7 linked regions of the Macaca mulatta genome follow. The protein of the gene in region 5 interacts with the protein of the main gene of each other region in a pairwise test. Links are inferred from orthologs where the notes say so. Each region holds a gene or a part of one and is shown on either strand. Other genes may lie near its edges.

The links.
Region 1: the proteins of L3MBTL2 (region 5) and TBC1D9B interact in binary tests that used the Homo sapiens proteins (3 or more experiments, as listed by UniProt). The two-hybrid records come from large-scale screens. The link is inferred for Macaca mulatta from reciprocal best matches to the Homo sapiens genes L3MBTL2 and TBC1D9B.
Region 2: the proteins of L3MBTL2 (region 5) and ZFY interact in binary tests that used the Homo sapiens proteins (3 or more experiments, as listed by UniProt). The two-hybrid records come from large-scale screens. The link is inferred for Macaca mulatta from reciprocal best matches to the Homo sapiens genes L3MBTL2 and ZFY.
Region 3: the proteins of L3MBTL2 (region 5) and PHF10 interact in binary tests that used the Homo sapiens proteins (3 or more experiments, as listed by UniProt). The two-hybrid records come from large-scale screens. The link is inferred for Macaca mulatta from reciprocal best matches to the Homo sapiens genes L3MBTL2 and PHF10.
Region 4: the proteins of L3MBTL2 (region 5) and TLE5 interact in binary tests that used the Homo sapiens proteins (3 or more experiments, as listed by UniProt). The two-hybrid records come from large-scale screens. The link is inferred for Macaca mulatta from reciprocal best matches to the Homo sapiens genes L3MBTL2 and TLE5.
Region 6: the proteins of L3MBTL2 (region 5) and BEND7 interact in binary tests that used the Homo sapiens proteins (3 or more experiments, as listed by UniProt). The two-hybrid records come from large-scale screens. The link is inferred for Macaca mulatta from reciprocal best matches to the Homo sapiens genes L3MBTL2 and BEND7.
Region 7: the proteins of L3MBTL2 (region 5) and MEAF6 interact in binary tests that used the Homo sapiens proteins (3 or more experiments, as listed by UniProt). The two-hybrid records come from large-scale screens. The link is inferred for Macaca mulatta from reciprocal best matches to the Homo sapiens genes L3MBTL2 and MEAF6.

The regions. Positions count from the first base shown.
Region 1 is NC_133411.1:188,875,353-188,879,346, forward strand, and holds part of TBC1D9B (TBC1 domain family member 9B), read right to left. Parts: intron 3,953-3,994; coding exon 3,854-3,952; intron 2,920-3,853; coding exon 2,851-2,919; intron 1,558-2,850; coding exon 1,317-1,557; intron 1,003-1,316; coding exon 829-1,002; intron 1-828. UniProt on the Homo sapiens protein: May act as a GTPase-activating protein for Rab family protein(s).
Region 2 is NC_133427.1:2,558,619-2,563,087, reverse strand, and holds the end of ZFY (zinc finger Y-chromosomal protein), read right to left. Parts: intron 4,469-4,469; coding exon 3,285-4,468; 3' UTR 825-3,284; downstream 1-824. UniProt on the Homo sapiens protein: Probable transcriptional activator. Binds to the consensus sequence 5'-AGGCCY-3'.
Region 3 is NC_133409.1:2,319,911-2,323,904, reverse strand, and holds part of PHF10 (PHD finger protein 10), read right to left. Parts: intron 3,176-3,994; coding exon 3,020-3,175; intron 1-3,019. UniProt on the Homo sapiens protein: Involved in transcription activity regulation by chromatin remodeling. Belongs to the neural progenitors-specific chromatin remodeling complex (npBAF complex) and is required for the proliferation of neural progenitors.
Region 4 is NC_133424.1:3,855,039-3,859,492, forward strand, and holds the start of TLE5 (TLE family member 5), read right to left. Parts: upstream 2,956-4,454; 5' UTR 2,759-2,955; coding exon 2,531-2,758; intron 2,345-2,530; exon of another isoform or gene 2,029-2,344; coding exon of another isoform or gene 2,002-2,028; intron 1,758-2,001; exon of another isoform or gene 1,451-1,757; intron 1,106-1,450; coding exon 1,008-1,105; intron 1-1,007. UniProt on the Homo sapiens protein: Transcriptional corepressor. Acts as a dominant repressor towards other family members. Inhibits NF-kappa-B-regulated gene expression. May be required for the initiation and maintenance of the differentiated state.
Region 5 is NC_133415.1:10,283,861-10,287,854, reverse strand, and holds part of L3MBTL2 (lethal(3)malignant brain tumor-like protein 2), read left to right. Parts: intron 1-648; coding exon 649-796; intron 797-1,519; coding exon 1,520-1,602; intron 1,603-1,950; coding exon 1,951-2,185; exon of another isoform or gene 2,186-2,252; intron 2,253-2,668; exon of another isoform or gene 2,669-2,711; coding exon 2,712-2,777; intron 2,778-3,994. UniProt on the Homo sapiens protein: Putative Polycomb group (PcG) protein. PcG proteins maintain the transcriptionally repressive state of genes, probably via a modification of chromatin, rendering it heritably changed in its expressibility.
Region 6 is NC_133414.1:15,038,753-15,042,746, forward strand, and holds part of BEND7 (BEN domain-containing protein 7), read right to left. Parts: intron 2,354-3,994; coding exon 2,231-2,353; intron 1-2,230.
Region 7 is NC_133406.1:203,284,188-203,288,745, reverse strand, and holds the start of MEAF6 (chromatin modification-related protein MEAF6), read right to left. Parts: upstream 3,213-4,558; 5' UTR 3,192-3,212; coding exon 3,102-3,191; intron 2,005-3,101; coding exon 1,889-2,004; intron 1-1,888.

The sequences.
Region 1 (3,994 bases), on a different chromosome or scaffold from region 5:
TCTGTGGTGAGCCAGCCACAAACGAGAACAGCTGTGTCAAGAGCCTTTCGGCCCCGGAGGCACAGAGCAATGGCCTGTCAGCTTTAAAAATCACAGGTCTGGGCCCCATCACAGGCAATCAGGAGAGAATCTTCTCAGGTGAAGCCCAGCCCCAGTACTCTAAAAATCCCCAGGGTTGGTTCTGAGGGCAGCTGCTGACCTCAGATGGCAAGCGACAGCAGGGACCTGGGGGCAGGTCCAGCCAGAGCAGAGCGCCTGGCCCAGGATTTCCACCTGCCTCGCCCTTCTTTCTTTCTATGATGACGGAGATGACCCCTCCTTGGAGCACTGTCCATGCAGCCACCCCTGCTGAGCCCCCAGACAGCCTGTCGCCAATGCAGCCCTACTCGGCTCCAGCACCGCTGCGAGGCCGGAGAGAAGTGGCCCCTCCTCATGGCCATGTGAGGATTCTCCAGCTGAACCTCTGGGAATAAACCCTTAAGAAACTTGACAAATTAATGCAGCAGTTTTGGTTCCAGCCCTGAAGCTCCACTCATGGCCCTCCTCGTGGGGTTTGGGTCCAGCTGCCTCCTCGGTGGGAGTTCTGTTCCCAGTGGTGCCCGGTCACCCGTGGGATTCTCCTCCATGTCCTTTCCCAGGCCAAGGCCCTGCTCTTAGACCTCTGTCAGGTGCTCAAGCTCCCGTTCCCTCTCCTCCAATGTGAAACTCCAGCCTGTGGAGCTGCTGTGCCCCCTTAAGGCCCCACAGTCCCACAGAGGCCTATCCTCTGCAGCTGAACTTCCGGACAAGTGGGAGATCCTGGCTGGGGAGTGGGCAGGAGGCTCTCACCTGGGGGAAGGTGTAGCTTGTAGAGCACCTTGAGCTTCTCTGTCAGGTCCCCGTGGTACATCCCGCCTGTGGAGAAGGCCAGGGAAGGGGCTGGGGCTGGCAAGATGGCTGCAGAGCCCCTTCCACGGGGTACGAGTGGGACCCTCTTCACAGCCTGCGCTGCCCATCTCCCTCCTGGAGAGGTCACGGGGTGAGTCCCAGGCCTCCTGTCTCCCTGGTGCCCTGCTGGGAAGGCTCAGCCCTTCCCTGGGGCTGGCAGACCAGCTTCTAGCAGCCCCAGACTGCATGTGGGAGGGGAGCGGGCAAGGCTCCTGCTGGACCCCCTCTCGGCTCCTGTGGGTAAACTGTTCTTCCCGTATCTAGGGCTAGAGGCACAAGCAGCCCCCTCCTGGCTGCAGTGGGGACAGACAGGAGATGCTGGCATTTGGAAGGCTTCCTGGGAAAGGGTAAGGGAGGGTCGGCCCCTGGTAGGCCCTGCAGGCACTCACTCATCCCCATCACGAACTCCTTGAAGTTGATCAGCGAGTCCTTGTTTTTGTCCAGGAGCCTGAACATGCGACCTGCCAGCACAGGCGTGTGGGAGCCGCAGGCCCAGGGTGTCAGGCTGGCAAAGAGTTCCCGGAACTGGCTGGCATCAATCCGGTACTGCTCCAGGTAGGGCAGGCTGGGGTCCCGACGGCCGGCCACTGTGTGGCTGCTCCCCCAGTACTGGCTCGCCAGGTGCTTGGCCTGTGGGACACAGTCTGGTGAGATGGCCCAGCCGCTAAGCCTGTGGGTGGAGGGGACCCCTAGGCTGGTGATGTGTCCACCCTCCCCCTCCATCCAAGCCTGCGGAGCCCTGGGTTGGTGAGCACTGGCCAGACACCGCAGCACCTCCTGAAAGCTCTCAGGGTATCATCAGTCCCCTGTTAACAGATGGGGAGGGGGTTGGCTGACAGAGTCCTTGGCAGCCTGCAGAGGGCAGAGCTGGTCTGCTGGCCCCAGAGAAGGGCTGAGCCTTCCTGGCAGGGCTCCAGGGAAACAAGAGGCCCGAGGCTTGCTCTCGCTCCTGTGACCTCTCTAGGAGGCAGGCAGAGCTGGCTCAACCGTTGTGACACCAGGGCCACAGTCCAGTGGCCACCTTGAGCACAGAACCTGAGGCAGCTGGAGAGGTGGATGTGAACTGGTAACAAGAACAGAAAGGCAGTCATTCCAACTATCAAGGCTGGGTCTCTTGCTAAAAGCACAAGAGCAAGAAAAATTATCTTCGCACTGGAGTTACTGAGAAGAGAGTATGGCCCTGGAGCTGTGACAACAGTCCTGGCACTGTAGGAAAAGCAGTGCAGAGGACATCAGAGGTGGGGGAGCCTGACGGCACATTTGAGCACCTGGATCCAGCCATGTCTGAAGTTTGCATTGATAGACTTTTCAGTTACAGGGGCAACGCATTCCCTCTTCTGTGAAAGATGACTTGAATGGATTTTTTGCCATTTAAGAGGTCCTGCCTAAACTCCAAGAAGGATTCGATTCTACCACATGAGGTTCATGGCAACTGCATCTGAGGATGCACTTAGATCTATTTCTCTATTTCTATTCTATTCCCTATTTCTATTTCTATCCTCTATTTCTTTTTTTTTTTTTTTTTTTTTTTTGAGACGGAGTCTCGCTCTGTCACCCAGGCTGGAGTGCAGTGGCCGGATCTCAGCTCACTGCAAGCTCCGCCTCCCGGGTTCACGCCATTCTCCTGCCTCAGCCTCCCGAGTAGCTGGGACTACAGGCGCCGCCACCTCGCCCGGCTAGTTTTTTTGTATTTTTTTAGTAGAGACGGGGTTTCACCGTGTTAGCCAGGAAGCCAGGATGGTCTCGATCTCCTGACCTCGTGATCCGCCCGTCTCGGCCTCCCAAAGTGCTGGGATGACAGGCTTGAGCCACCGCGCCCGGCCTCTATCCTCTGTTTCTAAGAGGATACTGTTGGATCTATTTCTTTTCTGGCAGGAAGCTAGGAAGCTAGGAAGGGGTCCTGCCCTGGCTCTGAGCTGTCACCTTAAACACCATGTAAAGGTCCTCCAGCTCTTCAATTGAGAAACCAATGTCCACAGGTATAGCTCGGACCTAGAAGGAAGGAGAAACAGGGTGTATGGCTGGATCACAAGCTCCTGCCACAGAAAGTACAGCACTCCGTGGGAGTATCCTCAGCAGATGAAGGCAAGGGTGTGAACCGCCTCTCAGTGGCCCAGCACTCAAGGGCAGACCCTTCAGGAGAGGGCAAGGCCCACAGCCATCCCTGACTCCCCACCCACCAGTCAGCTCACACTCCTGGGCTCCTTCCCAGGATGGGCTTGGGGGAGCCTCTCTCCTCAACATACAGTTGAGGTTGAAGGGTGAGGAATGCTCATTTGCCTCCCATCATCCGGATCCCTGCGGAGACCCTGGTGCCAGCTCCGTAGAAGGAGCCCTCGAACCTGCCAGCCAGTGCTCCTTTGTTTTAATTGGCCGAAGCAGCCAGTCTCTGGTGCTGTGACCCAATGTCTTTACCGTGTCCCACAAGCCTGCAGGAGGGCTGGGAGTGTGGAAACAATGGAAGAAGTCCCTGCCTTTGGGGGCAGAGACCACGAACAGGTCTTGCAGTACAGGGTGGCAGGGAGGGCCTGGCCCCTCCAGAAACGAGGACAGAAGCTTGTGGCAGAGACATGGCATTTGGGGTGTGTGGAGGGTGGTGGCATGTTGCCGCCACCTGGGAGTGGGGCAGGGAACACATGGCACAGCCAGCTGGGCGGGCTTGGCCCAGAGGGCATGTGGCTGTCAGGGTGGCAGCCATCTGAGAAGCTTCCCGGTGACTCACCCACCAGCAGAGAAAAGTGACTGGGACCTCTCCCCACATTCCCACCTAAACCCCTGGATCTGGTCCCATGAATCCTACCATGATGTACGTACCAAAGCAGTGTAGGACAGTGGGTGCGGTGGAGCCCTGCACCCGCCCTGTTCTGTGGAGAGGGCTCCGCTGCCCCCCGGCCCAGCCCCCGCCCAGCCCCGCTGGCACCCATACCACACTCCTCTTGGCTGTGTCCTCCAAGGACTGGATCACTTTCAGCCTCTGTTTAAACCGCATCTGCTCGATGTCCTCGGCCCTCAGGCTGCTGAATTTCTACAGGCAGAGGTGACTTGGTGAGATCGAGCCAACTGCAGG
Region 2 (4,469 bases), on a different chromosome or scaffold from region 5:
TGTTTGACTCCTCGTTAACTTCTACCAAGCTTCTAATTTTTGTTGTAATACCCATCCCACAGTATATGTGTACACTAAAGATCTCCAAACTGAATACAAAGGAGTAACACACAAATGTGTAACTAGGGCAGGTTCTTCTGCTATGGACTTACTGCCCTCAAAAATCACTTAAGGCCTAGTGCACTGGCCTATGCCTATAACTGCACCATTTTGGGAGGCTGAGGCAGGAGGACTCCTTGAGCCCAGGGGTTTGAGACCACCGTGGGCAACATAATGAGACCCAACCCCATCTCTATAAAAAATAAAAAATTAGCCAGGCACGACAGTAGATGCCTATAGTCCCAGCTACTATGTAGGCTGAGGTGGGAGGACTGCTTGAGCCCGAGAGTTCAAGGTTGCAGTGAGTTGAGATCACAAACCACTGCACTTGAGCCTGGGCAAATGAGTGAGGCTTTGTTGTTAAAACAAAAACAAAAAACCAAAAGAAAAAAAAGAAAAAAAAAGCTCTATGCAAGGAAAATTTATTTCAGCAAGTGGAGATGCTAACCAAACAATCTTTCATTAAGATAAAACAAAAAATTGATTTTCAAAAACACATTGAGCAAAGGACTCTTCAATTAGCACAAGTACTCTGAAATACTACTTGTAAATTCATAAGGTTACCAATATTTACATAAAAAGCATTTTGTGTTCCACTTATGTACAGAATGAACTAAGTGGGGAAATAAAAATAGTCCACTATGTTTTATGTTTATTAAGACTTAAAACTGCATGTTTTAAAGAAAAAGAGTTAACTTAGTATTGGTATCATATACAAGTAAACATTTATTAACAGCAAAATATTATTTTTATTTTTGCATATTATTCTCAAGTACACATTTACAACAGTATCACACTTCCTACATGAATTCTCCATAGTATTTTAAGTATTTTACAATTTGTACAGTGGAAGGGACATACGATATTTAATACACTATTTTTCAACCAAACAATAATTTATGTCATTGTAAGATTTTGTACCTCTTTAAAACTTTCAACTTCAACATCCACTTTTTTAGCTTTGCTAATCAAATTAAGAATTAAAACCAGCCTGCAAATAATAACAGTATATAACATTAAGCACAATTTCGTTTCTGTCTTTATACAAACGTTCTATCATATTTACTTGACCAAATGCTTAATTACCTTTTAAAGGTTTCAATACTGTGGTTAAAAACAAAACAACTGTGTATAACTCCAGACTATATGAAAAACATGAAGTATGTAAAGTGTTGTTCTTTACCTTTCTGTTTATTTTTAAAATATAAATAGCTAACTATTAATTTTAAGGAGTGCTTTAAAACTCTTAAACTTTCACTTAAATACTTCCTTTTATATTACTTCAGGGAGAAAACAAATTGGAAGGAGATTTAAAGGATTCTCAAATACAAACTGAAGTTATCAAGAACAAGATAATGAAGGACAGTAACAATCAGGTAGAAACATGTATGAGGGCTAAGAAGTCCTAACAGATTTTCAAAATCCATTATATGGTTTTGGTTGGTACTAGGTTTAAATTCATGTATTACTAAACCACTTCAGAACTAGATCAAATTAATCTAACATGTCAGAGGCTGTCAATCACCAAATATTTATATTTCCTAATCCTGTAACTTTTGAATTGGTGGCCCAGAAGGAGAAAATAAAAACCTGACAGCGTAAGTTGAATGAAGCACCACCATACTAAAGCCAGAAGGTAGCTGTAATGTGGTTTAAAAAAAATTCTAATCCCTGAAAATATTCCAAATACATAGGTACCAACAGCCAAATTAAGGAACCTAAAAATGCATTTTCCATTCTCCAAAATTCTTATTAACCAAATTCTTTTTAATTATATGAATTCATTTTATATTATATCCATACATGTTATTAACTGCTTAATAACTTATTAACTCTCAAACAATAAAATTTGGAAAGTGATATATGTTCCAAATAAGGCCACGGATTTTCATTACGTATGTTTATCTTCTAATCAAAATCAACTTAACTGTTGTCTTTTTAAAACTTTACTCAGTGTAAAATAAAAAGCAGGATAAAGTTGCTAATTTGGAATTAGCTCTCATTCTGTTACATGGTACCACCACTTTCCCTTAGTCCTCTTTACTTTGCAGTGAGACAAGAGTTCCTTCACAGGATTCTCAAAAACTAAGAAACCTATGTCTGAAATAGCTTTCCAGGAAAAATTTATGATATGAAGCTGAAATTGTAAGAAAACATTCTATCTAGAAACATCTTACCTTCCATTTTTATCTATCAAAGAGTATTAGAAGATTTTCACTCTTCCTAATGTCCTTCTTTTCAATTCTTCACCTCAAATTTAGTAACTCTGAATAGTAAGTTATGAAATGCTCTCATGCATCCCTGGATCTTCCAGGTTACTGTAAATTTTCATAAGTTTAAAATTTGTGCTTGTGTGTGTAAATATGTAATAAGCAACAAAGATGCATATACAAGATTTAGAGTTACACACCAAGTTTCAAAAAATCCTGAGTCCACAATTTACCTCTAAAAGACTAAAAGTCAGTATGCAGTAAGTCTCGGGTGTTGGAATACAATGCAAGACAAAGCAGTACAAAGAGAAAACAAAAGACAAAAATAAGTAAAACTTTTCAATAATACTTTTTAAAAGTTTGCTGTGCTGACAAAAGATGTAAACACTATTAATGAAAATTAAAGGAAGTACATTTTGTCTGCTGAACAAAATGAAATTTAAACATAAATGTAGTCAATATCCTATATTAATCAATGCTAGAAGCTCAAATGTAAAATTTCATCATCATGTAATATTAAGCAAGACAAAAAAATTATTATGTTTTGCTAACTGGACTTGACAGTAAAATCTCCCATTTATGTTAGCAGATGTCTCCAATGTGAAACGTTTGTGTAGGAAGAAATGGGTCAAAAATGTTACTTTTGTAGTTATCAATCTGATTTTGTCTTAGAAGAGTACCATCAACATGAATAAATATGTAAATAAATAGTAAAGCTTTTAAGACTGAAAATTCAGTATAGAATCACAAATTATAAGCAACTTGCTTGTTGCTATTTTTCTCATCTATTAAAGAAACTGAATAGGATTCAGGACACCCTATTGAATAAAATGTAAAGAAAAGTGGACTAGAAGCGATAATTCTATTTTTACACAGCATAATTCAATGTATAGTAATGGATGTGAACAAGACTGGCTTTAAAAAACGAATTTTCTGCTTCAAGGCCAACATCTTTACAAGCTTGTAGACACAATGTTAGGGCAGGCCAACTTCTTTATGATGTCGCATTATGTGCTGGTTCTTCTCTGAAGGTCTTCGGAAGCCTTTCTTGCAGTACTCACACCGATGAGGATAGTCTTTTGTATGAATGGAAATGACGTGCCGTTTAAAGCCTGAGGCATCCGTAGTGCTATACTCACAGTACTCACACTGATATACTTTCCTGCCACTGTGTGTCTTCATATGCTTTTTAAGCTCATTTTGTTGCCTAAATCCCTTTCTACATCTCTTACACCTAAATGGAAGATCCTTTGTGTGAACTGAGAGAATATGGCGACTTAGAACAAATGGGTCTGCAATCTTAAAGTCACAATGTCTACATTGGTGCATTTTTTTACCTTTGTGGACAGCCACATGCTTCTTGAGTTCTGAAGGCCTGTGAAAGCCTTTCTCGCACATCTCACACTTATGAGGATAGTCTTTTGTATGAACTGAAATTACGTGTCGTTTCAAATCACTTGAGTTTGAACTCTTGTGGTCACAATGCAAACACTGGTGTGTTTTGTTTTCTTGGTGGACAAGAGTATGCTGCTGCACTTCTTTGGTATCTGAGAAAGTCAGAAGACAAATATCACACTTGAATGGCATCTCTTTACTATGCTTTGTTTTTATATGTGTTTTCAAGTTGGAAGAGTCTGCAGACCTATATTCGCAGTACTGGCATTGGTATGGCTTCTCCCCTGTATGGATTCGCATGTGCTTTTTGAGTTCCGATGGGTGTCGGAAACCTTTACCACACTCCACACAAATATGAGGAAAGTTCTTGCTGTGGACTGCCAAGAGGTGGCGATTCAATAACCCCTGTTCAGCTGTCTCATATTCACAGAATTTACACTTGTGCATTTTGTTGGCCCCTTTTTCCTTGTGCACCATTTTGTGAGTAAACAAAGCCCCCGCATGAGAAAAATGCTTCCCACACTCATCACATTGAATGGCCTTCTCTGCCTTGCTGGTCAGCTTGTGGCTCTCCAGGTGGTTATGTAAACTTATCTTCTTGTTGGTAGTGTAATCACAGTCAGTACAGTGGTACTTCTTCTTGGCAAGGTGTTCGGGATGGTTTTTCATGTGTCTTTTCAAAAAACCTCTCGACTTAAACTTCTTCCCACAAATCATGCAAGGATAGACAGTCAAAGGATGACCATCAGGGCCAATAATTATTGC
Region 3 (3,994 bases), on a different chromosome or scaffold from region 5:
GGATAGTGTCACATGCTCAAACCATTTAAGTCTTGCAGTGTAGTTACCCTCTGTTGTTACTGCTACATTCTAATCATAAGGTTCTCATTGTGTGTTCCTATACCTAAATAAAAAACAGCTAGGAAGTGCACTTCTATAATCCAAATTCTGGTTCAGTTTTGTAATCATATCTGTACCTGCCATAATATACAGCAGAATGCTATCTCTTAATCCATCAAAACTAAGAAATCTCTTTTGGTTATGGTACCTGTACTAAATGTAAAAGATATACTTATTTAATACTCATAGTTTAAGTTAGATACTGGCATAGTAAATACTCTAATATCTTTCACTAAAGTCAGGGAAGTAACCAAACAATATTAAATTCTAAAAACAGAACTCCTCATAGGAGATTCTTTACAAAACAAAAGCCAAAAGGAATAAAACACAAGGGTAGTCATTCACATTCTAGAGCAATTCAAGTTCTACAATCATTAAAATATACATTAAACACCTATGATAAAGGGACACCAAAAAATTCTAGGTTTATTTCTAAGTTTAAATCATAATGCTTTGTTAAATCACTTAGTTTTTCTTACCCAACAGTCTTCATCTTGAGGAAAACAGGGCAACATGAGAGAAGGGGAAGAGAGACAGCTTTGTAGCATTTTCTGTGATGAATGCTGCAGCTCAATATACAAAGCATCTGCCCTCTCTAAGAAGCCACAGTGCTGGCATCCAGGACTTCACACAGCAGATAACAACCGTGGCTTAGAGAAGCCAGTCTCAGTGGATTGCACAGTTGAGGGAGGGGTTAATGTGCAGCACTCTCCCCAAGGCCAATGGAACACACTCCCATGTGTGTCTGGTTGAGACAATCAGTTCTACTTCAAATAACTGCAACATCATCAGTTTCACTACTGACAAGAAAATTGAAATACTCATCCTAATAGCTCTCAGCATCTCAAATAAAAGGCTCACAGTACACTTACTTTTCTACTTGAAAAACAGCCAAAGATAAGACTTTCATGGTAGCAATAATATAGTATAGATTTTAATTATATATTTATAGGCTGGAATCCTAATAATTATGCTTTAAATTTCAGGTTAATGTAACCTAAACAATACGGTCCTACGAATTAAGGGCAAGCACTAGTGAATCTTATTAAGCAACCCGACAGATACATTACTTTCTTGAATCTCATATTTTATATATATATATAAATATATATATAAAACATGACCTTTAGCTTGAAGTACCCTAATATTTAGGCACATCTTGGTTTATTAATACTTTTTATAAAGAGGTTAACTTTTAATAAACCTGTTCACATTAATGTATGACTAGATACTGGTTGTTCCCATCTTTGAAATACCTGAAACATTTTTAGGTACTAAAAATGTTCACAGATTATGTAAAATATAAATTTTGCATATCCTACTTGAGTACTATTAGGTTCAGTTAATCTATATGATTTCTTGTATAGTAAATCAATGATAGTGTTAAATAGTTCATTTCCAGCCTGTATTAAAACATCTATTTCAATATTCTCTCTTTTTAACCCATGATCAATCAAGCTTACTGTTGGAAAGATCTACTTAGCACTCAAGAGTTAACAGGACACTGTGCTTTGAGCGGCCACTTCCATTTAAAGCTCTTAGCAGACCAGTAGAACACACTCATTCATGTACACTGTTTCTGAAATTTCATCTTTGGAGCTCACTTGCTTTCAGTTATTAAGCATTAGTTTATATATTTAAAGAAATTAGATAAGCTTTATATGTAAAAACAAGTACAAAAATCACATAGCTGCAGCCTATTGCAGCCACCCTTGGAAGCCAACCCTTGCTCAATTAAGCTTAAAATTTGCTTGCTACAGGCTACCAAAAAAAAAAAAAAATTTAAGTTATTTACATAAAAGCATTTTCTAATAAAACATGAAATACACTAATAGGTCACTTTTTTTACTTGAAGAAAGGTAAATGAACATGTTAGAACGTGTTCTAGTTAGTTTGACGGAAAGGTGACTAACTTCAGCCTGTTCTTGTGAATTATTTATCACAATCACAGTTCTGACATACAAGGTGTTTAACAATTTCACTTGGCAAAACTTCCTCATCAGCTTACTCTAAAATTTTCCTTCAATACACCTTCATAAGTGCAATAAAAGCATGTTCTAATACATTTCAGACCAAAGAATCAAAAGGTAGTATATTTTACTACCACCATCCCAAATATGAAACTGTACAGCTAATTCTTCCTTTTATGATATTCTTAAATCCCTATATGCAAATAAGGCTACACACCTCTCACCTCACCTTTTCTTCAAAAGAAAAGGGAGGGGCAGACAGAGGGAGGAAACGTTCAAAATATAATAATAGTTGCTGACAACCTACAACTTTACTCTGAGGATAATCAGATCAACAAGTTAACAAGTATGTTTTAATTCTTGTCATAGAATCATATAGGCTCTTTACCAAGGTTATGCTAAAAATCACACAATGTAAATAACAGGTTTTATTATTTTCTATCCCAGAGTTAGCTAAATTTAGCATATGGATCAAGTAATCCTTAGATTAAACCCAGATCTTTCTTAATGAAAGGCACTAAAAAATGCAACTTAGTCTAACAGTATACCCACTCATACTTCAGCTCAGCAGCTTTAGCTACACTAAATGCTGGGGCATTTAAAATGCCAAATAATTATGATCTTTACTCCAAGGAAAGAAAATATAAACTTCTGCCTATGAAATAATGTTTTAAAAACCCATACTTGCCTGGTTATTATTTCAAAGAAAAAAAAAGACTTATAAATTGTACATATACAGAAAACAGAAGCTAAACCATAGCCAAAAGTGACAGAAAAGCCACCAAGGAAATAAAGCACAAAAGAAAGCAGCAGACAGAGGGCACACCATAGAAGAACAGCTAGTGAAGTACAGCAGGCAGAAGCTCCACAATCGTGAAAGTCAAGTGAAAACATTTCAGGGAGAGAGGCTGGTCAGTAAAGAAGCTGAGTCAGGGGCTTTTTTCTTCTACCTTGTACCCAGGAACTGACTTGGACAGTACAGAACGTTTGGGACCATCTTTTCTTGGAGTGGCAGCTTTGTCTTTTGATTTCTGTCTTCCCTGGAAAGAGTCCTCCTGGCTGTCAGGAGCGCTTTCTCCTTCAGATACATTGCCAGAGGAGCTGTCCTGGAGTTTAAAAGGCAAAAACAAAGATTCTTTGGAATTGAGTCTGGATTTTGAAAACTATGGAAAATACTCAAAAAAAGTTTTAAAGCCTTATCAATTTAAAAATAAAAAGATCATTCTAAATGTAAGAAAGTTTTTTCCAGTGGAGACTAAAGTAACTTATGTTAAAAATCATTCATCTTTCTTCTAAGTATGATATGGTATAAAACTGATTGCATTCATATCAGTGCCTTCATCAACTTTGTTTTCTGACCTAAGTCACAAAAATGCAATTATCCGCTTCAGCTACTATTATACGGCACACAGCTTCAACATCATTTTCCATGTCACAAGGGAACATATTTGTTTCACACAAAAATATATTGTTACAAATAAGTGTGGGTATTTTCACTGAGTACTAAAAGTCATTAAGAAGGTCCTTCAGGAAAAATGAAGTGCTGCAGTTAAAAAAAAAAAAAAAAAAAAATTCCTTCGAGTACACATTTGTGTTTTCATAATGTTAAACCATGCAGAGCCAATCCCTCAACTATCTACAACAGGATGTGAAAGATTGCATATATTCAAGGTTTAAGACCTCAATATCTAATGATTTAATTCTTCATTTTATAATTTTAAATTTTCTAATTAGAACTTTCATATAAATTATGAAAATTATAAATGAAAAAATTAGATTATCTAGAGCCTCCCTGATAAACACACACTGACTAGAAACATTAATATATCCACTTCATCTTTTTTCTGGGTGTCCACTTATATACATAAAGATACCGAGACTCACACATACCCCCTAACCTCATTGTGCCCTCATTTTTTAAAACA
Region 4 (4,454 bases), on a different chromosome or scaffold from region 5:
CTTCCTCCAGATTCCCAGGCCCGGCGTGCCCCTCCAGAGTAGGGCAGGTGAAAATCTGTATCCTTAAACCTTAAACCAGGAGAGAGACCTGGTGCAAACCTCAGCCTTGCCACTTCCTCAACGCTACGGACATCCCCGAGGAAATAACCTCTCTGGGCTTAAGTTTCTTCTTCTTTATTTTTTTTTGTTTTTTTTCGGACACCGAGTCTCTCTCTGTTACCCAGGCTGGAGTGTGGTGGTTCGATCTCTGCTCACTGCAACCTCCGCCTCCCGGGTTCAAGCAAGTTTCCTGCCTCAGCCACCCAAGTAGCTGGGATTACAGGCGTCTGCCACCACACCCGGCTAATTTTGTATTTTTAGTAGAGACGGGGTTTCGCCATGTTGGCCAGGCTGGTCTCGAACTCCTGACCTCAAGTGATCCACCCGCCTCAGCCTCCCAAAGTGCTGGGGTTACAGGCGTGAGCCACCGGTGGCACCCGGCCTGGGATTAAATTTCTTTAAGTGTAAAAGGACTAAATAGTTCCTTCCCCTTAGATACCACAGCATGGCAAGCTCTTCAGAAACGCCAGGAGATTTCTGAAAGAAGCACCTGGGAGAATCTGACTGATGCTGGGAACCCTTTCTCCAAAACTGGGCAAAGAGAGATGACCAGGCTGCAAAATGTTTGTTTTGGGGGTTGGGGGGACGGCGAGTCTGTGCCCTAACTCCAATTGTCTTTTATCCAAGGGGGGACTTGGGGGGATTGGGTAGGAGGGAGGGGCTCTGAAGCCACACAGCTGGGTCTTTGGGCAAATTATTTAACTTATTTTGTGCCTCAGTTTTGTCCTCCACAGAATGCAGCTGTTTAAAAAAAATGAATTCCCTATTTGTCAAGTATTAGGTCAGAGTCTAGCATACATTATTTTCCCAATCTCCCCTCCAGGCCTCAGCCTTGCCATCTGCGCAGAAAAAATGGGGTGGGGGGCTCACCTTCTCGGGACGCAGGGACCCTCGGCCCCCCAGCTCACCTGTGATACTGAGCTTGCAGTAGCTGAAATTCGTCTTTGATGCGGTCGCAGGAGTCCGAGGTGGTGAATTTGAGTTGCTGGGGTAGGTGCGAAGAGCCCTGTGGGGAAGGGGCGGCCCGGGTCAGGCCCTGGCTTGGGCTGGACCCCCCTCGAGGGCCAGCCGGGAGGGAGCGGCCGCGCAGCTGCGGCGCCCCCCCTCCTGCCCCACTTCCTGGGCCCGTGTTTACGGCCCCTGGCGCGGCCCCCACCCGCGCTTCCTGCCCCCCGCCTCTCCCGGGGGAAGCCGAGGGGGTGGGTGCGCCCGGAGCCGCCCCGACCCCCGCCACCTCCAAGCAGTGGGGGTGCGTTTTAAGGCCTGCCCTAGATGGGGGGCAGGGTGCGCCCTCTACCGCCCCTCCAAAGCGCCGGGAGGGAGTGCACATCCGAGGGGGGTGGATACGCACCCTAGGGAGCCCCCTCCCCAAGTTGGGGGGCAGCGAGTCCTCCCAGCAAAGCCCTCTTGGGGGAGGGGTCTCTCGGCGCCCGAAATCTTCCCGGGGGGCCCACCCCAGATTCCCAGCGCCCTTCCTCGGGGACGCGCTCTTCCGGGAGGGGTGCGCCTCGGATCGCCCCCCCACCACAGGCCCCCAAAGGATCCCCGCGCTAGAGGTGCCTGGCGGGGCTCCCGGAGCGCCCCAGGCCCGAGGCCAAGGCCGTCCGAGGCCCTGCCTGTCCCGGCGAGGGGGGGGGCGCCAAGCCGGGAGCTGGGACGGGGGGGCTCGGGGCCCGGAAGCTGGGGTGGATCGGGAACTGGGGGGTGTCCGGGGGCCGGCGGCAGGAGGGGGGTCGCGCCGGGCTTGGAGCTGGAGAGGGAAGACAGGGCCGGGGAGTTGGGGGGGGTGCCGGGCCGGAGGCACCGGGCCTGGGGGTGGGGGGCGCGGGGCCGGGAGCCGGGGGTGGGGAGCGCAGGGCCGGGATCCGGGGTGGGGGCGCCTGCCGGACGGACCCCGCTTACCGAATGCCTGCTTTGTGGAAACATCATGTCAGTCGCGGCAGGGGGCGCGGGCTGCGCCCCGGCTGTGCGCCCCGGCTCGGGCTGCTGGGGGCGCCGGGCGGCCGCGCCTTTGTCCCGGCGCCGATCGGCAGCTCCCGGGGCCGCCGCCGCCTCCCGCGCCCGGCCTCGCCCGCTTCCTGCGCCCCCTCCCCGCGCGCCCGGCCCCGGCGCGCCCCGGGCCCCGCTTCCTGCGCGCCCGGCGCCCCTCCCCGCCCCTCCCCGCCGCCCGCCTCCCCGCTCCCCGGCCCCACCGCTATTGTCTAATGGCGGCGACGCCGGCAGTGGCCGCGGCTCGGCTGATGCTGAGGCTCCGGCTCCACCTGCCGCCGCCGCCCGTGCCCCGTGCGCGCCGCCGAGGGGGGGGAGGCGCGCGCCCGGGGAGGCCTGCGGATCCCCACCCCGGCCCGCCTCCCCAGGGCCCGCCCGCCGCGGTGACCTTGGGCCCGGCCCGCCCCCGCCCCGGGCCGCGGCCCCCGCCACCCCCCCCAACCCGGCAGCAGGCCGGGCCTCGGTTTCCCCATCTGTCAAAGAAAAGGGACCCGGCTGCCCGCGTCGAAGCCGCCAGCCCTGCCGTGGCACGACCTGGACGCGTGCCACGGACGTGCTCTGTGACCTTGGCTCTGGCTGGGCGGTGGTTCTCGCTGAGCCTCAGTTTCCTTTTCTGCAGAAAGGCAGCGGTAATGCCGCCTTTCTCAGGGAAGCCATTCTTGCGACACATTTATAGAACGCCTACTGTGTGCCAGGGCCTGCTGCTCCAGGGCCCTGTGGTGGGGGCGGGGGTGGGGGGTCCCTGCTCTGGTGGTGGTGCCTGGAGACAGACAGAGACAAATTAACAAGCTGAATTCCCAGCAGGTCAGATGGTGGGGACCGTTCTGCAGAAAAACCAGCCGGGAGGATGGCAGGGTAGGAAGATGCAAAGTTAAACAGGTGGCAGGGAGGATCAGAGAGAGCTTCCTCCGCCCCTAAAACGACCCAAAGAAGGAGAGAGAACAGGGGGATGGGGTACAGAGGTACTCAGAGGCAGGACCAGCAGGTGTAAAGGCCCTGGGGCAGGACTGTGCCTGGCATCAGGGTGCCAGGGCGGAGGTCAGGAAGGCCGGAGGGAGGCAGGGCCTGGGGCTTCATGCATTTGCCCGGGCCCCCCCCCCTCCTCAGCAGGGCTTGTGCTTGGGTTAATATTTAGTGTTGCATTTTGAGATTCCTAATCATTTTTGAACAAGGGGCCTTTCAGTTTTCTTTTGCACTGGGCCCTGCTAACTCTGTAGCTGGTGAAGCAGGCCAGTCCAGCAAGGACTTGTGGGCCATGGGGAGGACTTGGGTTTTTGGGTGAGTGAAGTGGGAGCCCTGGAAGGCTGTGGGAGGAGGAGGGATGGGACCTGGTGGTTTGTTTTTTGTTTGCTTTTGAGACGGAGTTTCACTCTTGTTGCCCAGGCTGGAATGCAATGGCACGATCCCAGCTCGCTACATCCTCTGCCTCCCGTGTTCAAGTGATTCTCCTGCCTCAGCCTCCCGAGTAGCTGGGATTACAGGCACGTGCTACCACGCCCGGCTAATTTTGTATTTTTAGTAGAGACGAGAGTTCTCCATGTCGGTCAGGCTGGTCTTGAACTCCCGACCTCAGGTGATCCACCTGCCTCGGCCTCCCAAAGTGCTGGGATTACAGGCGTGAGCCACCTTGCCCAGCTGTTTGTTTTTGAGATGGAGTCTCACTCTGTTGCCCAGGCTGGAATGCAGTGACGTGATCTTGCCTCACTGCAACCTCCGCCTCCCGGGTTCAAGCGATTCTCCTGCCTCAACCTCTCGTGTAGCTGGGATTACAGGTGCGTACCACCATGCCTGGCTAATTTTTGTATGTTTAGTAGAGATGGGTTTCACTATATTGGCCAGGCTGATCTTGAAATCCTGACGTTGGGTGATCCTCCCGCCTCTACCTCCCAGAGTGCAGGGATTACAGGTGTGAGCCACCGCACCTGGCTTTAGACTTGTGCTTTTGCTCTGAGTGAGGTGGGAATCCTGGAGAGCCGTGGGAAGAGGAGGAATGGGACCTGGTGGCGGTTATGAAAGTATCCCTCTTTCTGCCATTCAGAGAACAGGCCCCAAAGAGGCCATTGAAATAAGGCTGTTCCGCCGGGCGCGGTGGCTCACGCCTGTAATCCCAGCACTTTGGGAGGCCGAGGCGGGCGGATCACAAGGTCAGGAGATCGAGACCACGGTGAAACCCCGTCTCTACTAAAAATACAAAAAATTAGCCAGGCGCGGTTGTGGGCGCCTGTAGTCCCAGCTACTCAGGAGGCTGAGGCAGGAGAATGGCGTGAACCCGGGAGGCGGAGCTTGCAATGAGCCGAGATCGCGCCACTGCACTCCAGCCTGGGCGACAGAGCGAGACTCCGTCTCAAAAAAAAAAAAAAAAAAAA
Region 5 (3,994 bases):
GCCACTGTCAGGGGGTCTCTGGCACAGCCTCTCATCACTGGCTGTGCCCAGAGTCCCTGACTTTTGTGGGTGGGGCCTGGCCTGCCCCTTGCTCAGAATCTGCTTTCATGTCAGGGTCCAAGGCTCACTGGACGAGGGCTTCTTCAACACCTGAGCCGGGTCCTGTGTCAGGGTGGGCCCTTCCCTGTCACCTCCCTGGGGCCTTCTTGCTGTGTGCCATCTCCTTTGAGTGCTGGCCTAGGCAAGAGCCACAGCGGGGGTCACCTTGCTCCAAACTTCCTCATCGCCTCAGCCTGAGCAGCACCCCCCGCCCCTGCATGGCCTTCCTGGAGGAGGCTGCTGACTCGTCCACGCCGCGGATCCGCTCCATGCCAGGCGCGTGTGCTCACCCGAGAACACGGTCCAGCAGGATGGATGCGGCCCCTGCTGGCGTGGCGTTTGCTGTGTAGTGGGGAAGAGAAAGAATCCCACGTGGACGCATCACAGAAGTGCTGTGTGCCCCAGGGAGGCTCAGGTGTCCTCCAGGAGGGCTGTGCCCTAGATCTGTTTGGATCCATCTGCCTCGTGTCCCTGTTGGGGTGCGGTGCCAACCCAGGATGGGGTGCAGTTCATGATATGATCTGTCTGCCTGCTACCCCCACCCCCCAGGTTCTCCTGGATGGATACCTGATGATCTGTGTGGACGGGGGGCCCTCCACAGATGGCTCGGACTGGTTCTGCTACCACGCCTCTTCCCATGCCATCTTCCCGGCCACCTTCTGTCAGAAGAATGACATTGAGCTCACACCCCCAAAAGGTAAGACTAGAGAGGCCACCACGTGCTGGCCTTGACATCAGAAGGGGCAGGGTGTCCAGGCGCGGTGGCTCCTACCTGTAATCCCAGCACTTTGGGAGGCTGAGGCAGGTGGATGACCTGAGGTCAGGAGTTTGAGACCAGCCTGGCCAACATGGCAAAACCTCATCTCTACTAAAAATACAAAATTAGCCAGGCATGGTGGCAGGTGCCTGTAATCCATTACAGCCACTAGGGAGGCTGAGGCAAGAGAATTGCTTGAACCCAGGAGGTGGAGGTTGCAGTGAGTCAAGATCATGCCACTGCACTCCAGCCTGGGTGACAGAGCGAGACTCTGTTTTAAAAACAAAACAAAACAGAAGGGGCAGGGTGGGGCCACAAGTCCAGATTCCTGGTCAAGTCAGGCCCCAAAGTGTAGCATTTCAGGGTGTATGGGAAAGGTGACAGAGCCCGCCACCAGCCCTTAACTGCTGGGCTGACCCTGCCCCGTGGCCAGTGTATTGTTGATGAACAGAGCTCCCATGTATCCCGTTGGTCAGCAAACAACCTATACAACAGGACTGTGGTGCTAGAGCAGGTGCCACCCTGAGGGGTTGAGAAGGCTGCTGGGGAGACTCCAGGCTGGGTCCTGAGCAAGCTGCAGAGCTCCTTCAGCCATGTGTCCTTTCCCCCTGCCCACTTCCTGCTTCCCCTCTCCCTCTGCATCTGAGCTGTCTGCTCCTCCAGGTTATGAGGTACAGACCTTCAGCTGGGAGAACTACTTGGAGAAGACCAAGTCGAAAGCCGCCCCATCAAGACTCTTTAACATGGTGAGGAGACTCAAGCGGAGCAAGGGGCCTGCGGGGGCCTCAGGACAGGCCCTGCCTGCTGCTCCCAGCGGTGGCAGTTCCTCCCCTTTCTCTCGAGTCTCTGCTTCTAACACCAGCCACTTTTGGGGGGAAGTCCCCAGCTCTGGCCTGGGCACTCCAGTCCCTCTTCCATGGAGGGCAGTGTGGAGAAAGAGGTGCAGTGGGATTATTGTCTAGAGGAACTTGCCCCAGCAGGCGTTCCAGTCCCAGCCTCCTCCCTGCCAGTTCTTCAAGTGCCTCCAGGCCCGGGCGAGCCTGCTGGGGTAGGGAGCTGACTGGCTTGGCCACTGCCTCCTTTTTCTGCCCCAGGATTGCCCAAACCATGGCTTCAAGGTGGGCATGAAGCTGGAGGCCGTGGACCTGATGGAGCCCCGGCTCATCTGTGTGGCCACGGTGAAGCGAGTGGTGCATCGGCTCCTCAGCATCCACTTTGATGGCTGGGACAGCGAGTACGACCAGTGGGTGGACTGCGAGTCCCCGGACATCTACCCCGTTGGCTGGTGTGAGCTCACCGGCTACCAGCTCCAGCCTCCTGTGGCCGCAGGTCTGGGCTCTCATGACCCTAAGAGACTCCGACTTTCCTCTTCTTTTCTCCTTCTTCCCCGGCCCCTGTGCCCATCTCAGTTCTTTGGCATGAGATGGAGACATCTCATGGACCACTCTAAGTAGAGAGTGAGCCCCGTCACCCAGCCCCTGCTCCTGGCTTCTCTGGCTCCCTTCCTCTCTGGCCTGCAGAGCTCCTTCCTTCATCTTGCCCACTCTGTCATATGTTCTTGCCCTTGTGCACCCAGGTAAACTACCCAGGTCCCTCTGAGCAGCCGTGGTGACAAGGGTGGGAAGAAGGGACAGCTGTTCTCCAGCCCCCCCTCTCCTCATTGCCAAGCTTTGGCCTTCTATCTTGGGGTGTCCTGTGTGTTCTCCAGCCCCCCCTCTCCTCATTGCCAAGCTTTGGCCTTCTATCTTGGGGTGTCCTGTGTGGGAGGGTGGACAGGGTCTCGGGATGCGCCTGTGCCCTGTGTCCTCCCAGGGACCCTCGTCTCATCTCTTTCACCCTTGTCTTTCACCAACAGAACCGGCCACACCGCTGAAGGCCAAAGAGGCCACAAAGAAGAAAAAGAAACAGTTTGGGAAGAAAAGTAAGTACTGTCCCAGTGCAGCCAGGCTGGCGTGGGCCCGGGAGCGGTGGGCTGCGCCCCTGGGAGCAGGCGGGGTCAGCCCCCAGGCAGAGGTTCCCAGGTGCTGTCCTACTGGCGCAACTCTCCTCGTGGTCCTGTCCTGTCGCTTTTCCCTTGCTCTTTGGCCTACGGGCCTTTCATCCTGTCTCTGGGGACCCAGACCATAAATAGAGAGTGTTCAGTCTCTGGCCATGGTCAGGGTGCTGAGGAAAAGAGGTAAGAGATTGAAGTTGGGGGATCCCATCCCTGATGCCCACGTTCAGAAAAAAAACAGCCTGGCCTGGGCAAGCCGCCGCTGCTAGGTTCTCAAGGAAAAGCCGCAGGAAGAAATAGAAGCTCTCTCCAAGGCTCTCATTCTTACCTCGAGACCTCTTTGAGGGTGGGAGAGGGCAGGAGCAAAGGCAGGCAGCTGAGTGGCGGGACTGCACCTGGCACTCGGGCTGTGGGGTGTCATTTGCCTTGGTGGGGCCTCACTCTACAGATTCTGAGCCCAGCTTGGCTTCCACTTGAGGGGCAGAGCGGGACGGGCAAAGCCATCCTTCAGAGCCGCAGGCCCATGACAGCGAGGTGGGCTGTCACCTCCACGGTGTGGTACCATGTGGGGAAGAGGATGTTCTGAAACAGGAACCAGGTCCCTGGGGCAGGATTAAGATTGAGTGAGGCAGCTAGGCACAGTGGCTCACGCCTGTAATCCTAATACTTTGGGAGGCTGAGGCAGGCGGATCATGAGGTCAGAAGTTCCAAGACCAGCCTGACCAACATGGTGAATCCCCGTCTCTACTAAAAATACAAAAATTAGCCAGGTATGGTGGCAGGCACCTGTAATCCCAGCTACTTGGGAGGCTGAGGCAGGAGAATCACTTGAACCCGGGGGCGGAGGTGGCAGTGAGCCCAGATCATGCCACTGCACTGTAGCCTGGGTGGAAGAGGGAAACTCCATCACGCACACAAAAAAAATTGTCATGCCATCACTTTGGGAGGCCGAGGTGGGCAGATCACAAGGTCAGGAGTTCGAGACCAGCCTGACCAACATGGTGAAACCCCGTCTCTACTAAAAATACAAAAATTAGCCGGGCACACTGGCACACGCCTGTAATCCCAGCTACTTGGGAAGCTGAGGCAGGAGAATTGCTTAAACCAGGGAGGTAGAGGTTGCGGTGAGCAGAGATTGAGCCACT
Region 6 (3,994 bases), on a different chromosome or scaffold from region 5:
ACCATCCTGGCCAACATGGTGAAACCCCGTCTCTACTAAAAACACAAAAATTAGCTGGGCGTGGTGGTGGGTACCTGTAGCCTCAGCTACTCGAGAGGCTGAGGCAGGAGAATCACTTGAACCTGGGAGGTGGAGGTTGCAGTGAGCCGAGATCGCGCCACTGCACTCCAGCCTGGCGACAGAGCGAGACTCCGTCTTAAAACAAAAACAAAAATAAACAAAAAAACTGAAATGCCTCAGCCCCACCCCAAACTAAATGAACTGACACTTCCAGACATGCCGCCTGGGAACCAGCATTGTCTGAAAGGTCTTCCAGTGATTCTGCTGTGCAGCCAGAGTTGGCAACTTCTCTTTGCTCTATTTGCATTCCCCCTCAAGGTTGGGTCTGTACCCTCAGAATAAAAGGGACCCCGAAGAATGATCACGATGGCCTAGGCCCCAGGCCTCGCTGAGCCTCATGATTCTAAATTAAAAATGAAAATGTTTTGGTTTAAGGAACATGGGGACTATCTGAGTTTTTCTTCTTTTGCAAATCTAGACACAGCCCGAGTCTCTGGCATACAGATCTCACCTCTAGGTCTTATTCCTTGTCTTCTTAAAAGAAAGGTGAAACTTTCTAAATGTAATTTAAATCTAAGTCTTCAGGCATTAAACCTTAAGTAAATCTACCCACGACACAGATTTTTAAGTTTAAGAAAATTAAAGGAGAGTAATTTATTCAGTTTATCCTTTGTGCCATCCTACAGCTTTGGAATCGTTTACCTCCCTAATCTGCAAAGGTTCAGAAAAGAAAACACAGCGACAAAGTGGCATTTACTTAATAGATTCTAAAAAGGCTTCCATCAAGGATTTAAATGGTTGCAATTTGTAGTTTGCCATTTCAGTAGTAAGGAGCTTAAGTGACAAAACAAATCATTACAATTTCATATGCATATTTTCTTAAGTGCGAACAAATTCCTCCTTGGAGAAAAGAAACCGAACATCATGAAGTAACCTTTCTTTCTGAGCTCCTTATTTAGGAGATGTTAACCTCTGCCAGGTTAATAAGAACACAGATTATCGTAGTGGAACAAGGTGAGTCCAACGCTTACTGACCTGAGCAAAATGCTTCCTTAGGGTAAAACCAAATTCAGTGCTTAAAAAGATGCTGTTTTTCAGAAAGTAGCTCACATTACTTCAATGTGATCTTGGGTGACTGATAAATCTAAGTATTAAGCTTTTTATATCAAAACCACATCACTGAATATTAAAATTATGCTAGAATTCACTAAATGGCATCCTGAACAGCCTCTGAGTGACGACCTTCCGGACTACCATTCTGAGGAAAGGGCAGGAAAGCTAGTCACGACATGGCTAAGAGCAAGTGGTGATGTCCCTTGACAAGAGGGAAAACTTAATACAATGATTTATTTCTTGTACCTGTGACAAAAACAATTCTGTTTTCCTTCAGTTGTGAAGATCAGAAAATACAGCTGCTATAATGAAGACCTAGACTTCCAGACTTCCATAGAACGCTCCATGGACTTAAAGGCCACGCTAATGAAACAGCTTAGGCTTGTACCATGCCTTATTAAGTTCATTTACAACCACTACATCATTCTATTTTGACAACAGCCCTGTGAGTTCGACATGAATTCTCCATTTACAGACAAGAAACAGGAAGCTCAGACACGCCACACAGCATCAAGAGCAGAAATTGGCGTCCAATCCCAAATTATAAATCCACCGCTCTTCCATCCCTCAACTTGCCTGACGGCAGTGAAAACAAAAAGGAGTAACATAAACAAAGACGACAGAACAGGAGGATCTCTGAGCTTCCGCATCCTGAACAGGAGAGAAAAGCCACAAAGCACAGCCTGGGGCTCCACATTTCTTATCTGCTTAGTCCTTGAACACTGAAGCCCATGCTTCCTCCAGGGCTCCTCCATACACAATTGTTCCCAAATTTAATTAACTGACATTTGTGAAATACTAGGAGATCATGGAATGAAGTCTATTGAGTACATACACATAATTATATGAGCTGTATCAGTTGCAAGACAAAATATGTTTGATTTGCTAAAGGAAAAACGGATTGTAGAGAAAGCTGAAAAAACAGATACTTGAAAAGGCACAGCAAGACAGCAAGGTGAGAAGAAGGCTTTAATAAAAGCACAATGAACATTCCAATGGAAGATGTCAGATATGCATTAAAAATCAAAGGACTCATTCCGAGGCCTGATCCTTGTACCTGCTTGAATTTGCATTAATTTCCTCATGGTCTTGAGTTCTTGCAGAATGGCCTGCAACGTTGACTGGCAGTTACAAGTACAGCAGTTTGATCCAGCTGATGAATTCACCACTGGAAGTTCTCCTGAGCATGAAAGAAAAGAATGACTACTCCAAACAAACCAAAAAAAAAAAAAAAAAAATCATAAAGGGGTGGGGAGAAAAAAAGAAAGTATCTTGGCAGGATTTTGAAGCATGTGCAATTATGATGAAGCTGTGCCTAAGGAAAACGTACCCACTAATTATCACAAGCTAAATCTGGGGGTCTGACTTTATCTAATTATCCAGGCTCCCATACTGTAAGGTGCGTGCTGTGGCGCGGTGTGGGAGCCTGCATGCACACACGCACACAATGAGTGGGCACAGCAGGCCTCCCTGTTGTCAGAGCCGTTCATCTCAAATAACAATACCTCAAAAACTCACTCGAAACACACTCACGCTAGTTCACACAAAAAGCAAGCCCCGAGAACAGCCTTGCAAAAAAAATTTGGTAGCTGTGTTTAAGAGTTCATATTAAAAATTAAAGGAGTTCTATTGAAAATAGTTTTGATATTAAGCATATTATTTCAAAAACAAAGAACTGTGCACCCATGAAAAGTTTTAGAATACTCTCTGGGTGTGGCGTTTGGGGTGGGGAAGCACAGAGGAGCAGGGATGGGAGGATATATTCGAACTGGATGGGTTTGAGGGTACTGGTGGGCTGGCTGGTTTTTCTTCAACTTAATCAAGAAAATCTTTCTACCTCTTTTCTCCATTCCCATGTCTTATCTTTCCCTTGCCATAGCCTCTTTCGCACTGTTTACATTTAATGCCTTTTCCTTAGTAAACCTATCATATTCTGTTTCTCTCATAGGTAAGCAAGTATCTTCCATTGTCCTTAGAATAAAATGGGACATTTGGACACTGCTCTTACAGTGGGTTCCCTCCAGCACCTGTTCACCTGACCACCATAAAATGGAGCAGTTTAGAGACTTCCAGAGCTTACATTTTCTCACAGGCCAGCAAGGTAAGTTCCATGGTTTTGTTCCAATTATATGTTTTATTATACTTTATATACCTTAAATCCTGTAATAGGCATTATTTGGGAATACTATAGAAAAATTCGCCAGAGCAAAACCATGAAATACTTCAAGATAACTTAGTGACTGTAGTGGTACAATTATTTACATTCAAAATTGTAGCAAGATTGTAATGTTACAACTTTAAAATTGTAAATAATCCCAATTAAATACCAAAGTAGTCACAGTTATATGTAATGTATTTCTTTCTTTTTTTTTTTTTGAGACAGGGTCTCAGTCTGTTGCACAGGCTGGAGTGCAGTGGCATGATCCTGGCTCACTGCAACCTCCCCCTCCCAGGCTCAAGCGATTCTCACGCCTCAGCCTCCCAAGTAGCTGGGACTACAGGCATGCGCTGCCACGCCCGGCTTTGTATTTTTTAGTAGTGATGGGGTTTCGTCACGTTGGCCAGGCTGGTCTTGAACTCCTGGCCTCAAGCAATCCACTCATCTCAGCCTCCCAAAATGTTAGGACTATAGGCGTAAGCCACCACGCCTAGCCATATTTCTACAGAAAACATAAAATCAATATCTATTTTCAAACTGATATGGGGGAATTTATGTTTGCAACTTTTACTAACTTGATACTTTTCAAGGTAAATCCACTGTTGCTGCTGTATACTGGGAAACTGAACACTGTTTACCCAAAACTTACTGATGTGGGGTTTA
Region 7 (4,558 bases), on a different chromosome or scaffold from region 5:
TGCTTACTGAATCCTGGATCAAAACAAATCAGCAAGAATTTTTTGGGACAACTGAGGAAATTTTAATAAAGACTATGTATTATATACTATTAATGTAGTACTGATTTTCTAGGTATAATAACTGGTTAGGTAGGAGAAATGTCCTTATACTCAGGAGATAATTATTGACACATTTAAGTGCAAAGTGTCAGTATATCTGCATCTAACTTTCAAACAGTTAAGTAGGAAAAAAAGGTAGGGGGACAGGGAGATATAACTACAAAGGAGTGGCATGAGGAAGATCTTTGTGGTAATGGAATAGTTCCTGAAGTAACTTGATTGTGGTCACATGAATCTACACACAAGATAAAGTGACATAGAACTATATATATACATTGTACCAACGTCAATTTCCTGGCTTTGATACTGTATTAGAGTTATATAAAACACACCTATTGGCCGGGCGCGGTGGCTCAAGCCTGTAATCCCAGCACTTTGGGAGGCCGAGGCGGGCGGATCACAAGGTCAGGAGATCGAGACCACAGTGAAACCCCGTCTCTACTAAAAATACAAAAAATTAGCCAGGCGCGGTGGCGGGTGCCTGTAGTCCCAGCTACTCAGGAGGCTGAGGCAGGAGAATGGCGGGAACCCGGGAGGCGGAGCTTGCAGTGAGCCGAGATCGCGCCACTGCACTCCAGCCTGGGAAACAGCGTGAGACTCCGTCTCAAAAAAAAAAAAAAAAAAAAAAAAAAAAAACACCTATTGGGGAAAACTAGATGAAGACTACAAAAGACCATTCTGCCAACTCCCTATGAATCTATAATTATTTCACAATTTAAAAACGTGAAATGTAAATATAGGTGTGTGCTTATATTAATATTATAGAGAGTAAGAGAAAGCAAATGTCACAACACATTAACAATCTGAATACAGGTAGGACAGTATCAAGTGTTCATATACTATTCTTCCCATTTTTCTATAACTTGAAGATAATCCAAAAGTTTAGAAATTTTTTAAAAATATTACTAAGCAAGCAGTGGTACAGCTGGCACACAGGTATGGCAAAAATTGTGAGGGTCAGTTGGGCGTGGTGGCTCACCCCTTTAATTCCAACACTTTGAGAACCTGAGGCAGGAGGACTGCTTGAAACCAGGAGTTCCAGGCCTGCCTGGGCAACAAAGTGAGACCCCACTTCTACAAAAAAAAAAAATGTTTTTAATTAGTCAGGTGCAGTATTGTGTGCCTGTAGTCCCAGCTAATTGAGAGGCTGAGGTGGGAGGATCATTTCAGCCCGGGAGTTTGAGGCTGCAGTGAGCTAAGATTGTGCTACTGCACTCCAGCCTGGACAACAGCATGAGACCCTGTCTCTTAGAAAAAAGAAAAGTGGCCAGGCATGGTGGCTCACACCTATAATCCCAGCACTTTGGGAGGCCAAGGCAGCAGATCACCTGAGGTCAGGAGTTCAAGACCAGCTGGGCCAACATGGAGAAACCTCGTCTCTACTAAAAATAAAAAAATTAGCCAGCCATGGTGGCATGCGCCTGTAATCCCAGCTACTCAGGAGGAAAAAGAAAAAAAGAAAAGAAAAATACTGTGAGGGTAGAACTCACGACTGATTAAAATGTGTAAAAAATTTAATAGAGTGATGTTGTATAAAGATATTGTTATATGCTGTATTTAAGCCTCACACAACCCTGTGCCAAAGGCCCAACTTTTGCTATTTTACAGATGTGAGCTTTGTCTAAGATTATTCAGTGAGGCAGTGCCTGAGCCAGAGTCCAAGAGTTCAAGTCCAGACCACACCACCACTTTACTACTGCCTCTAGCAAACTTGCTACTAAGAGCCTACAGTCCTACAAACACACACAATAGGAACACAATAGGAACACTACAGGCTTTCGACACTCACTTTTGGTTGGTCAGATACCGATCCCAGCCACGAATAATATTGCCATACATCTGAGTGTCTTCCAGGTAGCTTCCCTCAAAAGCATAGATCTGTCGCTCCAAGTTTGCCAGTGTTTCCTGAGAGATGAAAAACAAGGACATGAATAATGCCTTTTAAATGCAAACACTTAAGTCTGACCAAAATGAAATCCTGATATTAGATTTGTAAACGCAAGCTTGTCCACACTAAATCACCCTGTGGAGAGATGGATGATATGGGGAGGAGCAGCCGTTTAGGACTAAGACAGTCTAGACCTTTGGGTGTGATGGACCTCTGAATGTATAAAGCATGTCCCCAGAAAAATACACACACACGCGAAATTTTGCATATACTTTAGAGGATTCACGGAAACCAGGAGTCAAGAACCCAGGCTAACGCAGAACTTGTGCGATATCCACTCCCACGCACAAAAGGTATCGCTACCAGGAGAGGGAAGGGTGAGCAGCCTTTCAGCGTCAACTCGCTCCCCTCCCCGCAGGCTCAGAGAGGCCGCCGGCACCGGGCTGCCAGTTGCTATGGAAACCTGGAAGGGCAGCTTCAGGTGAGAGGGGCCTCCGGGGTGCCCAAGCCGAGACGTGAGGGCAGGAAGAGCTTAGCCACCAGGGTGCATTGGGCCTTGGGTGCCTGTCACAATTCCGAATTCTCCAGAATGTGTTCTTCTCCCTCGCCTGTCACCTTCTAGATATTCCCAAACACATCACAACCCTGTCTATCAAAAGCCTCCATTCAACGGATCTACTACTAGTACCAAAAAGAACACGCTCCCCACCATCCTCCAAAGTCCAGACAGGGTGACTCGGTCCCCCTCCCACACTAGCCTCCTACCCCACCCCCACCCCGCAAAGATCACGGACTCGCCCGCCTCGCCCTTCCTAGCGCCCTCTCCCCGAGTCCCGAGCCCCGGCACCGTCCTCCCTCCACGCCCCCTCCTGCGGCTGCCGCTGCCCCTCCCCCTCCCGCGCTCCCAGCTCCCTCCCGGCTCCGGATTCGCACAGCCGGGAAGCTGAACCGCCGGCGGGCCGCAGAATGCGCACCCGGCCTCAGGCCGCCGAGCACACAGCCCGCCGCGCCGCGCCCCCGGAGTAACGAACGGCCTGGCGCAGCCGGGCTTGGGGCCTGGAGGCGGGGCGGGCGCGGAGCCCCATGCCGGGCAACCCCGGTCCTAGCCCCTCACCGCCAACTCCTGCTTCCGCTTCACGAGCTCCGCCAGCTCCCGCCGGGTGTCCGGGATCTGCGGCGGCGCCGCCTTGTTGTGCATCGCCATGTTGGGCTGAGGCGGGCGGCGGCGGCGCGAGGTTGGGGGCGGTCCCTGCGCCGCCAGGGGGCGCCCCCCGCACTGCGCCTGCGCGCGCGGCTTCCGGAGACGCGTGCAGCGCCGCGCAGAGGTGCTCTGCGGCCGGGACTCTGGACGATCCTTCTCGGAGAGGTCCAGAGAGTCGGCTTCTGCTCTGCCCTTTACGCCGTTTCCTGCCCCTCGGCTGGCCGCGGGCTTTACAGACGCCACAAATCTACCGTGTCCAAAGCCTAGCTCGTCCTCAGGCCTCCGAGTCTCCTGTGCGTCCCGCCTCAGTCCACTTCAGTGAATGACTTTCACTATCCACCGCAATTGCCTGCGTCAGAAACCCGGTTTTCCTCACTCTGCACCCGGAGTAAAACGCGATACCAGGTCAAGCCCTGTGGATTCGACTCCGGAAGAGCTCGCGAATCCATTTGCTTGTGCCTGCGCCTTTTGCCACCTTCTTAGTTCATTCAGGCCCTCCCTGTTTGGGGCTACGTTATTCCAACAGCTTCTTTATTTCCACCTTTAGCCCCATTTAATCCACTATCCACAGTGGTGCCGGAATCTTCCAGAAACAAATGTTATCACTCCCCTGTTTAAAGCCTTTCAGTGGCTTCCCATTTTCCCATTGCCCTTTGGAGAAACAAGTATGTGTAGTGGTTAAGGGCACAAAACTGGAGCGAGAACTACCTTGTTCAAAATCCTATCGCTACATCGATAAAGTGTGCCCCTTTGGGTAAATAACCAAATCTCAACTCCCTCATCTGTAAAATGAAAGCAGTGATAGAATCTACTTAATACAGTTGCTGTGAGGAGTAAATCAGCTAATGTGTGTAAGGGGTTTGGCAGGTGCCAATGACTCTGCAAGTACGAATTCGCTTTTATCGTTAAGTCCAAGGTGTAGACGTTGTTTTCACTTGGCCCCTGTTGATTTCTCCCTCCTCAGCTCTCCATCTTTCACTCTTCTGCAATTTCGCTATCATAAGTCTAAGTGGGATATTTTTTCTTTTTGTTTTGTTTCTTGCTTGGAAGTCTTTGGATTTCTATAATCTGTGGGTTGGTATCTTCCACCAGTTTTGGGAAATCGCAGTCATTTTTCTTCAGATGCCTGTCTCATATTCTCTCTCTTTCTGGAACTCGAACATAAGAAACCTTTATTTTTAACCTACCGTCTATATTTTCTATCTTTTTGTCCCTCTGTGCTGCATTCTGAATAACTGGTTTCGTGTGCGGATCTTGTAACCTGCCATCTTGCTGAACTTCCTTACTAATTTTAGGGGGGTTTTGTATAGATTCCTTGGAATTTTTTACATAGATAATTTCATCTGCAAATGGGGCGTTTTTTTTTTTCT